Arabidopsis thaliana: one gene and its partner. The protein of the gene in region 2 purifies or fractionates together with the protein of the main gene of each other region. This does not show direct contact. Each region holds a gene or a part of one and is shown on either strand. Other genes may lie near its edges.

What was found.
Region 1: the proteins of CKS2 (region 2) and CDKB1;1 purify together in Arabidopsis thaliana (affinity purification with mass spectrometry; 2 studies listed by BioGRID). This does not show direct contact.

The regions. Positions count from the first base shown.
Region 1 is NC_003074.8:20,057,583-20,062,002, reverse strand, and holds CDKB1;1 (cyclin-dependent kinase B1;1), read right to left. Parts: upstream 2,333-4,420; 5' UTR 2,122-2,332; coding exon 1,494-2,121; intron 1,400-1,493; coding exon 1,330-1,399; intron 1,127-1,329; coding exon 988-1,126; intron 846-987; coding exon 753-845; 3' UTR 515-752; downstream 1-514. Other genes in the region: AT3G54190 (Transducin/WD40 repeat-like superfamily protein), read left to right, coding at 3-244; FIP37 (FKBP12 interacting protein 37), read right to left, coding at 2,607-2,762, 2,865-2,920, 3,004-3,073, 3,219-3,380, 3,655-3,708, 4,086-4,133, 4,254-4,331. UniProt on the Arabidopsis thaliana protein: May control G2/M (mitosis) phase progression. Plays a role in regulating seedling growth in darkness via regulation of hypocotyl cell elongation and cotyledon cell development. Plays a role in stomatal development. Required to suppress endoreduplication.
Region 2 is NC_003071.7:11,911,534-11,915,538, forward strand, and holds CKS2 (CDK-subunit 2), read right to left. Parts: upstream 1,893-4,005; 5' UTR 1,728-1,892; intron 1,616-1,727; 5' UTR 1,580-1,615; coding exon 1,527-1,579; intron 1,433-1,526; coding exon 1,372-1,432; intron 1,065-1,371; coding exon 927-1,064; 3' UTR 618-926; downstream 1-617. Other genes in the region: CKS1 (cyclin-dependent kinase-subunit 1), read right to left, coding at 1-10; AT2G27980 (Acyl-CoA N-acyltransferase with RING/FYVE/PHD-type zinc finger domain-containing protein), read right to left, coding at 2,417-2,533, 2,616-2,756, 3,052-3,145, 3,236-3,292, 3,369-3,433, 3,507-3,764, 3,846-3,902, 3,994-4,005. UniProt on the Arabidopsis thaliana protein: Binds to the catalytic subunit of the cyclin dependent kinases and is essential for their biological function.

The DNA of each region.
Region 1 (4,420 bases), on a different chromosome or scaffold from region 2:
AGCGGGATCAATCAATATCAGCAATATATTGACTGGGAAATGCTTAGCTAAAATAACACCAAGCAGTGGGCCTCCAAAAGATGATGAGAGCAGCAGCAGTAATTGTATGGGAAAGAACTCAAAGCAAAGAAGAAACGCTGTAGCTGAAGCTTTGGAAGACATAACCGCTCTTTTCTACGACGAAGAACGCAATGAGATATACACAGGAAACAGACACGGCCTTGTTCATGTGTGGTCCAATTGATTTCACATACATCGTCATCGTTAGCTGCTACTACTACTACTACGAATGTATCATTTGGTTTCCTTCAATTGTGTGTAGCGATAAATCTTTTTAACTTAGTGTCTTTGAGCAGCCATCTGTGTTGTAAACCATTTGTGGGCAAGTGTGCGCGTCAGAATGCCAGTTGTGTACACTAATACCATTGTACGTAACATTTGGGTTTTGACAATTCTATGAAAGACCCTTTATTCCACCTGTAAGGTCTCACTTTAATTTTCAAAATTGACTTGATTCAGATAGTTGAGCATCAACTTTGTATGATTACACAAAAACAAGCGATTGATAGAAAATCATCTCATTGCTACCACACCATTGTGTTTTACATTCACTTGAGAATACAAGCTTTACCAGTTTCTTCTGAAAGACTACAAATCTCTAAACCAAACATAAGACACTAATGTGTCGGAAACAAAGATAGATCAAATGTTTAAATTCACCAAGACGATGACAACAGATACAGCAATGAACTTCAGAACTGAGACTTGTCAAGGCTGTCAAAATATGGGTGATCAAGTGCTGTTTTTGCTGAAATTCTTTCGGCTGGATTGTACTTGAGCATTTTCTGCAATTGTACAAACATAAGCTCAATCAGAAAGATTTAACCAAGCAATTCAGCTTAGGAAAAAAAGAGGGAAGCAGAAGCAAGAGGTAACAATATTAGAGCAACTTTGCAACAAAGCTATGGTCATCAGGGAGTTATTTACCGTGAGAAGATCAACTCCTTGAGGTGAAAGAGAAGGAACAGCAAGAGTTAAGTCTTGCGGCTCCCACTTAGGGTAAACATGCCAGTCACGCAGTGTGGAAACACCCGGCCATTGCTGCTCAGTTGGTGTTCCTAGCAACCTCCATGAACCAAATAGGAACCATTAGTAAAGATCATAGTCTCTATTCAAGAATGCTAAATCCATTGAATAATTGGTCAAAGAAACCTGGACTATATAGAATCAGTTGTTCTCAATTGGTAAGCTAGCATATCATTCAGTGATGCAATTCACACTGAAACAGGACAAAACCAGAAGAAGTAATGGAAGGTAAATTCAAAATACCTGAAGATATGAAGCAATTGCTGAAACTCAGAATCACCAGGGAAAAGAGCTTGCCTCCGAACCATCTCAGCTATACAAATTCAAAGATTGAAACAGCATAAATACAAAATCACATCGCAGAGAGACGAATTCAAAAACATAAAAGCATAATTGAGACTACTAACCAAAGATACAACCAACAGACCACATGTCAACACCAGTTGAATAATGAGTAGATCCAAGAAGAACTTCAGGAGCTCTATACCAAAGAGTAACAATCTCATGCGTATAAGACTTAAGAGGAACAGTAAAAGCACGACCAAGACCCAAATCAGCAATCTTAAGAAGCTCTTTATCTTTCACCAGAAGAAGATTCTGCGGTTTAAGATCACGGTGAAGCACACCATGACTATGACAATGCGCAACACCTTTACAAAGCTGAAACATCAACTTCTGAATCAAAAAAGGCTCAAGAGGCTTAGGATTAGGTCCTTTCCTATACGAATCGATGAATTTCTTAAGATCAGTATCGAGATACTCGAAAACGAGATAGAGATTGGATTTGGTAGATTGAGATTTGGTTGATGGTTGATGAACATGTTCGACGCAGAGTAATCGAACAACATAGATCGATGTTGATAACATCTGGAGAAGCGAGATCTCACGAAGAGCAGTTGGTGGAATACCTTCTTCGTCCATCTCGAGACGAGTTTTCTTCAGAGCAACAAGCTTACCAGTTCCTTTCTCCATCGCTTTGTAGACTTTCCCGTATGTTCCTTCTCCGACCTTCTCTAGCTTCTCGTACTTCTCCATTTCTGAGAGGTTTCGTAAAATTGAACTGTGTTGGTTTCTGGACTTTTGATTAACCCTATTATTTGATCAGATTAATGAAGATGATGGATTGTGAGAGAGAGAGAGAGAGATGCTTTCGCTAAGATACTTCCACGTCACTTCGTTTTTCCCGCTCCTTTGGATTTTGAATTCGTTCGTGACAACTGCAACAGATTAACCTAAAGTCGTGACCTCTGTGAATGTTTTTGGGGAAAACTAATTGGACTCACTTATTTTGGTCTAATCTGATATCTACTCAGATGATTTGCGTGAGTTGACGAGTTCAAATTCTTCACGAGTTATATCGGGAAGCCACATATCGATATCGAAACACCAATGGTGCGAATTAAAACATATTAATAGAAGATGAAGATTAGAACTTTCTGTTTCATGAAACAGATAACGAATGAAGAAATGTGATTTTGAACTTCAAAATGTACAAAACATTTTTTGAAAGCTACAAATTCCTATTCTCCACCAGCAATTTCTTCTTTTGCATCTTCATCAATTTCATCAACTTCATCTTTCTTGTCACCTACTAGCTCAGACACAATTTCCAGTCCTTTCTTTACTCTCTCTATCTCCTTCTCTTTCTCTTCCAGTTTCTCTTGCAATATTATCACCTGAGATTTATCAAAGTCACATATTTCCAACAAAACCATAATCATTCTTCCGTTTTAAGAAAAATCTTGAGGAATTAAGAGATAAGAGAAAAGGATCAACACCGTTTCATTTGATCTCTCAACATCATTAGTTAATTCCTCCATGTGTTTGTACAGTCCTGCATTCCACAAAAATCCTCAAATCCAAATTGCAAACTCTACAAAAATCTTTGCTATAACTTAATATCAACATATGACTTACCTTCAAATTGACTTCTAAGTTCCGCGTTTTGAGACTTCTGCATTGCAAGCTTTATTGCTAGTTCATGAATCTGCCATTCCACATGAACATAGGCAAGCATCAATTTCTTTACCCTTTTCAGGGAATCATGTTTTACAAAGGTTGAAGAAGACTACTGCTTTACTATATAATTCATATAATTCCAGATTGAAGACTGAGAGTAGAACAAACTATACCTTTCCTTCGGCAGCTTGGTGCCCAATCTCCTCATTTTCCTCTTGCAGGGTTCTGCACTTTGCCATAAGCATCTTTCCATTCTTGCTTTGAGGAGTAAAAGTAACTGCTGCAATGTTGTCCTGGAGTTCCTTGATCTTCTTGTCTTTTTCCTCTACTAGATTCTGCATAATAGAAACATGGAATCAAACTTCATCTACTCTTTACTTAACTGCAACAAATGTACATTAACAAAAAGTTGGGAATGTTCGTCCTCAACTGTATCTACTACGACAGTGTCAGCTATCAGTTATTAAGGAATTATTCTTTCAGGCCATTCATAACGAAAGCGGAATTTTGTTCCGTAGATACAGTTTGGATTATCTAAGGATATATTACGACAAATACATCCTTATGAAAAAGTAGTCTAAGGGTAAATAGAAACGAGTAGGTGCAGACCTTCAGACGTGAAAATTCTTCATGAATTGCTGGATCCAGTAACAACCTCCTCGCCTACAAAGGTAAACAAAGAATAAATAATCTACACTGCTATCTGATCATGACAAGCTGCTAAATGACCATTGCAATTCAAAATTTATAGCCATTTCTTCTATTCAGACTTGTTAATAATTCAGATGCCAGGTAAAGGTTTACAAGAAACATGCGCTTATCATCGTATTCAGACTGAAATCTAAAAGGCAAGGAAAAGGTTTCCCTCTACATGCATCAAGGTCGAGGATGACCGTCATAAAAGGTACACTACGGCATAAAAAGCGGACTATGCCTAGAAAAGTCCAAGTTACTTCAACAGCTAACTTTTTTCACGATTTGTATTGTTGGCACAATTGTATAAATTATTCCAGAATCAAAACATTGGGAGAACTATATACCTGCATTGACGCTGGCTTGAGTTGAGATTTCAAATCGCGAACAGCTGACTAGAAATACAAAATACAAGACTGTGTTTAGCGACATCTATTCTATGTAATGGTCAAGAAAACATGTGATAGCATCAGTCAGGAATCAAAGTGGTAGGCAATGAGTTTCTCGAGAATTACCTTCAATTCTGCCATTTCTTGTTCCCGTTTCGCATATTGTACAATGCATGACGCTTCTTTTCTCTTTGCGATTTCTAACTGAAAAGAGAGAAACAACAACCAAACCTTATTTGAAAATCAAGACCTTCATATTGATATATACACACAAGTTATTACTCAAGTACAAA
Region 2 (4,005 bases):
TCTGACCCATTTCTCTCTCAGAGATGTGAAGCCTTAATCAGGAAATGGAGGAGAAGGGAAAGAGGAATTGAAGAATCTGTAATCTGATCGTTTGAAATTTGGGGAAGATAGTGAAAGGAGAATAAAGTGGTTTGGGGTAGATATGTAATTATGAGGAAATAGAGGGGTGTTTGATTAACTTTTTAGAGTTTTGAAATTCTTTAGAAGACGCCGATTGGGTATGAATGATTATAAACCGGTTAGTTACCAAAATGAATTGAAATTGGGTGGATTGGTTTGGTTCTAATTAAATTCAACAACTTGTTTGGTTGCTTTGACCAAAGACCTTGTTATTTACCATCAAACTACGAACTCGTTCATTTTCTCGAAATTTCATTTAATTCCAACAATCAGTGCTTCACACTAGGTATAAGATACATATCTAGTTAATTTATAAAAATGGCTCTGAATCTCCTGGTTTCAATACACTAATAGTAGTACAGTAAGGAATATATGGTGTTTGGTGAATGTGGTGATTGAGACACAATATGAGTTTCTTTGAATCAGTATCGCCATGAGAATCGTGATTAGACCTTCAGATTGGCATTGTAATGATACCTTGTTTGTTGTTCATAGTTATGGACTTAAGACTCTAAGAGGAGCAATAAAAAGAGGTTGAAATGATGAAACAAGCACATAAGCATGAGAAATAACGTCTTCATTCTTAACCATGAAGAAGTTCAAACGTGGATCCAACCAAAGTCTAGCAAAGGACCAGACTTAACATAACATTAAAAGTTGTTCTACCAAACTCACATGATTCTCCACTGAAGAGAATTCATGAACACAATAAAAAAAACTACAGGAACAAAACATCAGAGTAGTATTTTAAAACCTCGTTTACGAGAGACATAAACAGAGATTAGGGAGAATTTTGCATAATTCTTCTACTTAGCAATCTGAGCTTGGTGCTCCTGCTGGTAGTTAAGAGGCCTCCTAAAGAGCATGATATGTGGCTCAGGACGATGAATCGCGTAATGAACCCATCCACGACTTTGCTGCACTCCGATGGCTCTCCATTCACTCTACAAAACCAGATTGTAAAACAAGAAAACTGTTAACTTCAAAATCAGAAAACTGAGAATTGACTGATAACACAAAAAAATATCTAAACTATCTTCGTCACTGCTGACAATTACACAACCTAAAGTTAATAAACAAGTTAATGAGAAGCAAAACTTCAAATTCCTAAGCAGAAACTTCAATTTCTTCGACTCTCAAAAGTCCAAACTTCAATTTCCTAACTTAATTTCTTAAACATGTAAATCTCTTAGCCTACGATGATTCAAGGGTTATACAGCGAATAGAGGAAAGCCCTAATTTTTAACTTACTTCCGAAAGAATACGATTCTTAGGTAAAAGCTTAGCAACTTCCGGAGGAAGTACAACGTGCCTGAGAGAAAAATAAAAGACCACGCGATTAGACTGAAACTAAAACGTGAGAGAGAACTCCATTAAAATGGGAGGAGAATCAAACTGAGAATCACCTGTATTCGAAAGTATCATCGAAATATTTGTCGGAGTACTGGATCTGACCCATCTTCTTAAATCACCCAACAAACGTCTATTAAATTTACTAAACAAAAGAAATGGAGCAATCTGTCAGTAATCTAAACCCTAAACAACGACGAGAACCTAAACAAATCAGAAATCGAACCCTAATCTAAGAATCGGGAAGTAAAGCAGACCTTGAGAAGAAGTGCGATCGGAAACGAAATGAATTTTAGGGGAGAAGAGGGAAAGCGAAAGGGAATTAAAAAGGCATTGTGGTAAGGAAGTAATTATGGGGATTTATAGGGGCATTTTCTCAACGGGTGTTTTGATTTTTTTGAGTTTCAAATTTCTTAGAGGCGCTCCTTCCCGCTTAGTGGAGCCCTAAAATTTTGATTACGGTTCGACGTTAATCAAACCGGTATAATTCCCGGTTCAGAGATTCATTTCTAAAGGCATCAGTATCTTCCTCTTATAGTCAGAGTTCAGGTGTCCGTATACTCGCCGGCTTTGTATACCTCCTTTGTTCGATATATAAACATCAGTGACAAAAAGAAAAAGATTTCAGAAAATTGAATTTCATTTTTGGGCACTAATATACAAAAAAAAATTAGCTTCGGATAATCATGACTAAACCCCCAAAAGAATGCCCTAATGTTTTAGACTTCCCCATTTACTTCCCCCTCTTATCTCTACTTCGTCTCTACCAAAACCAAATTCTCTAACCCTTTTGTGTATCTTTCTCTCTAGTTTCCATTACAAAGAAAGACACGTTAGGGGAGAAACCTGTACAAGAACGTGGCTACTACCCGAAATTAGATTAAAAAAGAGCATCCAATCGTTTCACCAACTTTCCAAAAACCAAAAAACAAAGACAACCTTGAGCTTACTCCTCCTTACTGGCCTCAGTTTTACTCACGGCACTCGGTGCTGGTACACTCTTTCTCAACATAGATGTTCCATGAAAGATCATCACCGAGTAGTCTTTTCTGTATTCTTTCACCTAATAACACACAAACACAGTGTGTATCAGAGATGGGATTCATTGGGAGTGTATATAAGTTTATATGGATATAGATATATACCTCTTCGTCGGTCATCTTGGTGAAACCAAATTTGTCAGTCCATATGGATTTGGCTTCATCTGCTGCTGGTAGCACGATATGTTTCACGTTTAGGAACCCAAGTAGCCTCTCGATGCAAGCAAACAGGCATTGGAAGTAACCCTACAATAGGAAAAAAAAAACATAAATTCTCAAACTCTCAAAAAAGAGCAATCACAAGCATTTCATCCCCCAGGTACAATTTGACACAAAAAAATTCCTTCTGCAATTAAGATGCTACACATTGTTCTGCTCTTAAGCTATTCGACACAAAAACATGTCTGCTTAGATGTATCACTGTATAATTTATCAATGTATGGGATTGACAGTAAGAGTGAGTCGTTTATTAACCATTCTATAGGAGTAGGCACCTGTTGTAAAGAAAAAACATCCAAGGTTCCAGATAAAAACTGTTTACCTGCCCTTGACAATCTTTGCTGGTAGCAACCAGAGGGAGTTCTGCAAGTTCTGACCCAAAAACCCTAAAGATTCCCACTGAAACAATCACTTCGCTGCACAAGAAACAAAAAAAGGACAACATTAAAAAGATGAAACATGCGTCACAGAAAATAAATTAGAGTGAAAAAGAAGAAGAATCTTACTCCACAGCCAACATAGTGCAGTACATGCCACTAAAATCTTGGGCCTTTGTTTGCCTTCTGTTCCACACACAAAAGTTGTTGATCAGCACAAAGAATAATCCACTCGACTGATTGAAGATACAAAATTGCTTACCCATACACCATGGCTGGTATCAAATCTCCCTTGGTCCCAGATTCACTGATAGGATCAAACCGTTCCTATAGCATACAATTGTTAGAAGGGACAAACAGCAGAAAGGACAGAAGAGTTTGAAATGTGGTCTTGACTTACATGAAGAATGGAAAGTGCCTTTGCAAGCAATATTTTGGTATCATCTGAAGAGGTCAACTTCCCACTAAGGACCCTCCATCTTATGTCAGGAGTGGTTTTATAATCTGGACAGTTTTCTTCATTAGGTTGTTCCTTCTTCCTTAAAAAATTCAGAATATTGTTACTTAGCTTCTCTTCTCCGCGAACTATCAGATTGCCCAATGTAGTGTTGATCTCTTCGCACCCGAGGGAACAGAACCATTTTTCTTCAGGTAGCTCCTGTTAAGACATAACAAGAATGAGAAAGATAGATACTGAGTTTTCACCCGAGGGAATGAAAGAGCTAAATAGGCAAAGAACCTTGAGATCAGCAATGTCACGTTCTTTCAAACAGCCAACATGGAATTCCTTTTCACACTGAGGAGAAAACAACAAAACCAAAAATGGTGAAGACCAGAAGCAGATTTAAGAGGCAAGGAACCCTATACAGCAATGAACAACAAAGTACCTGATCACAGAT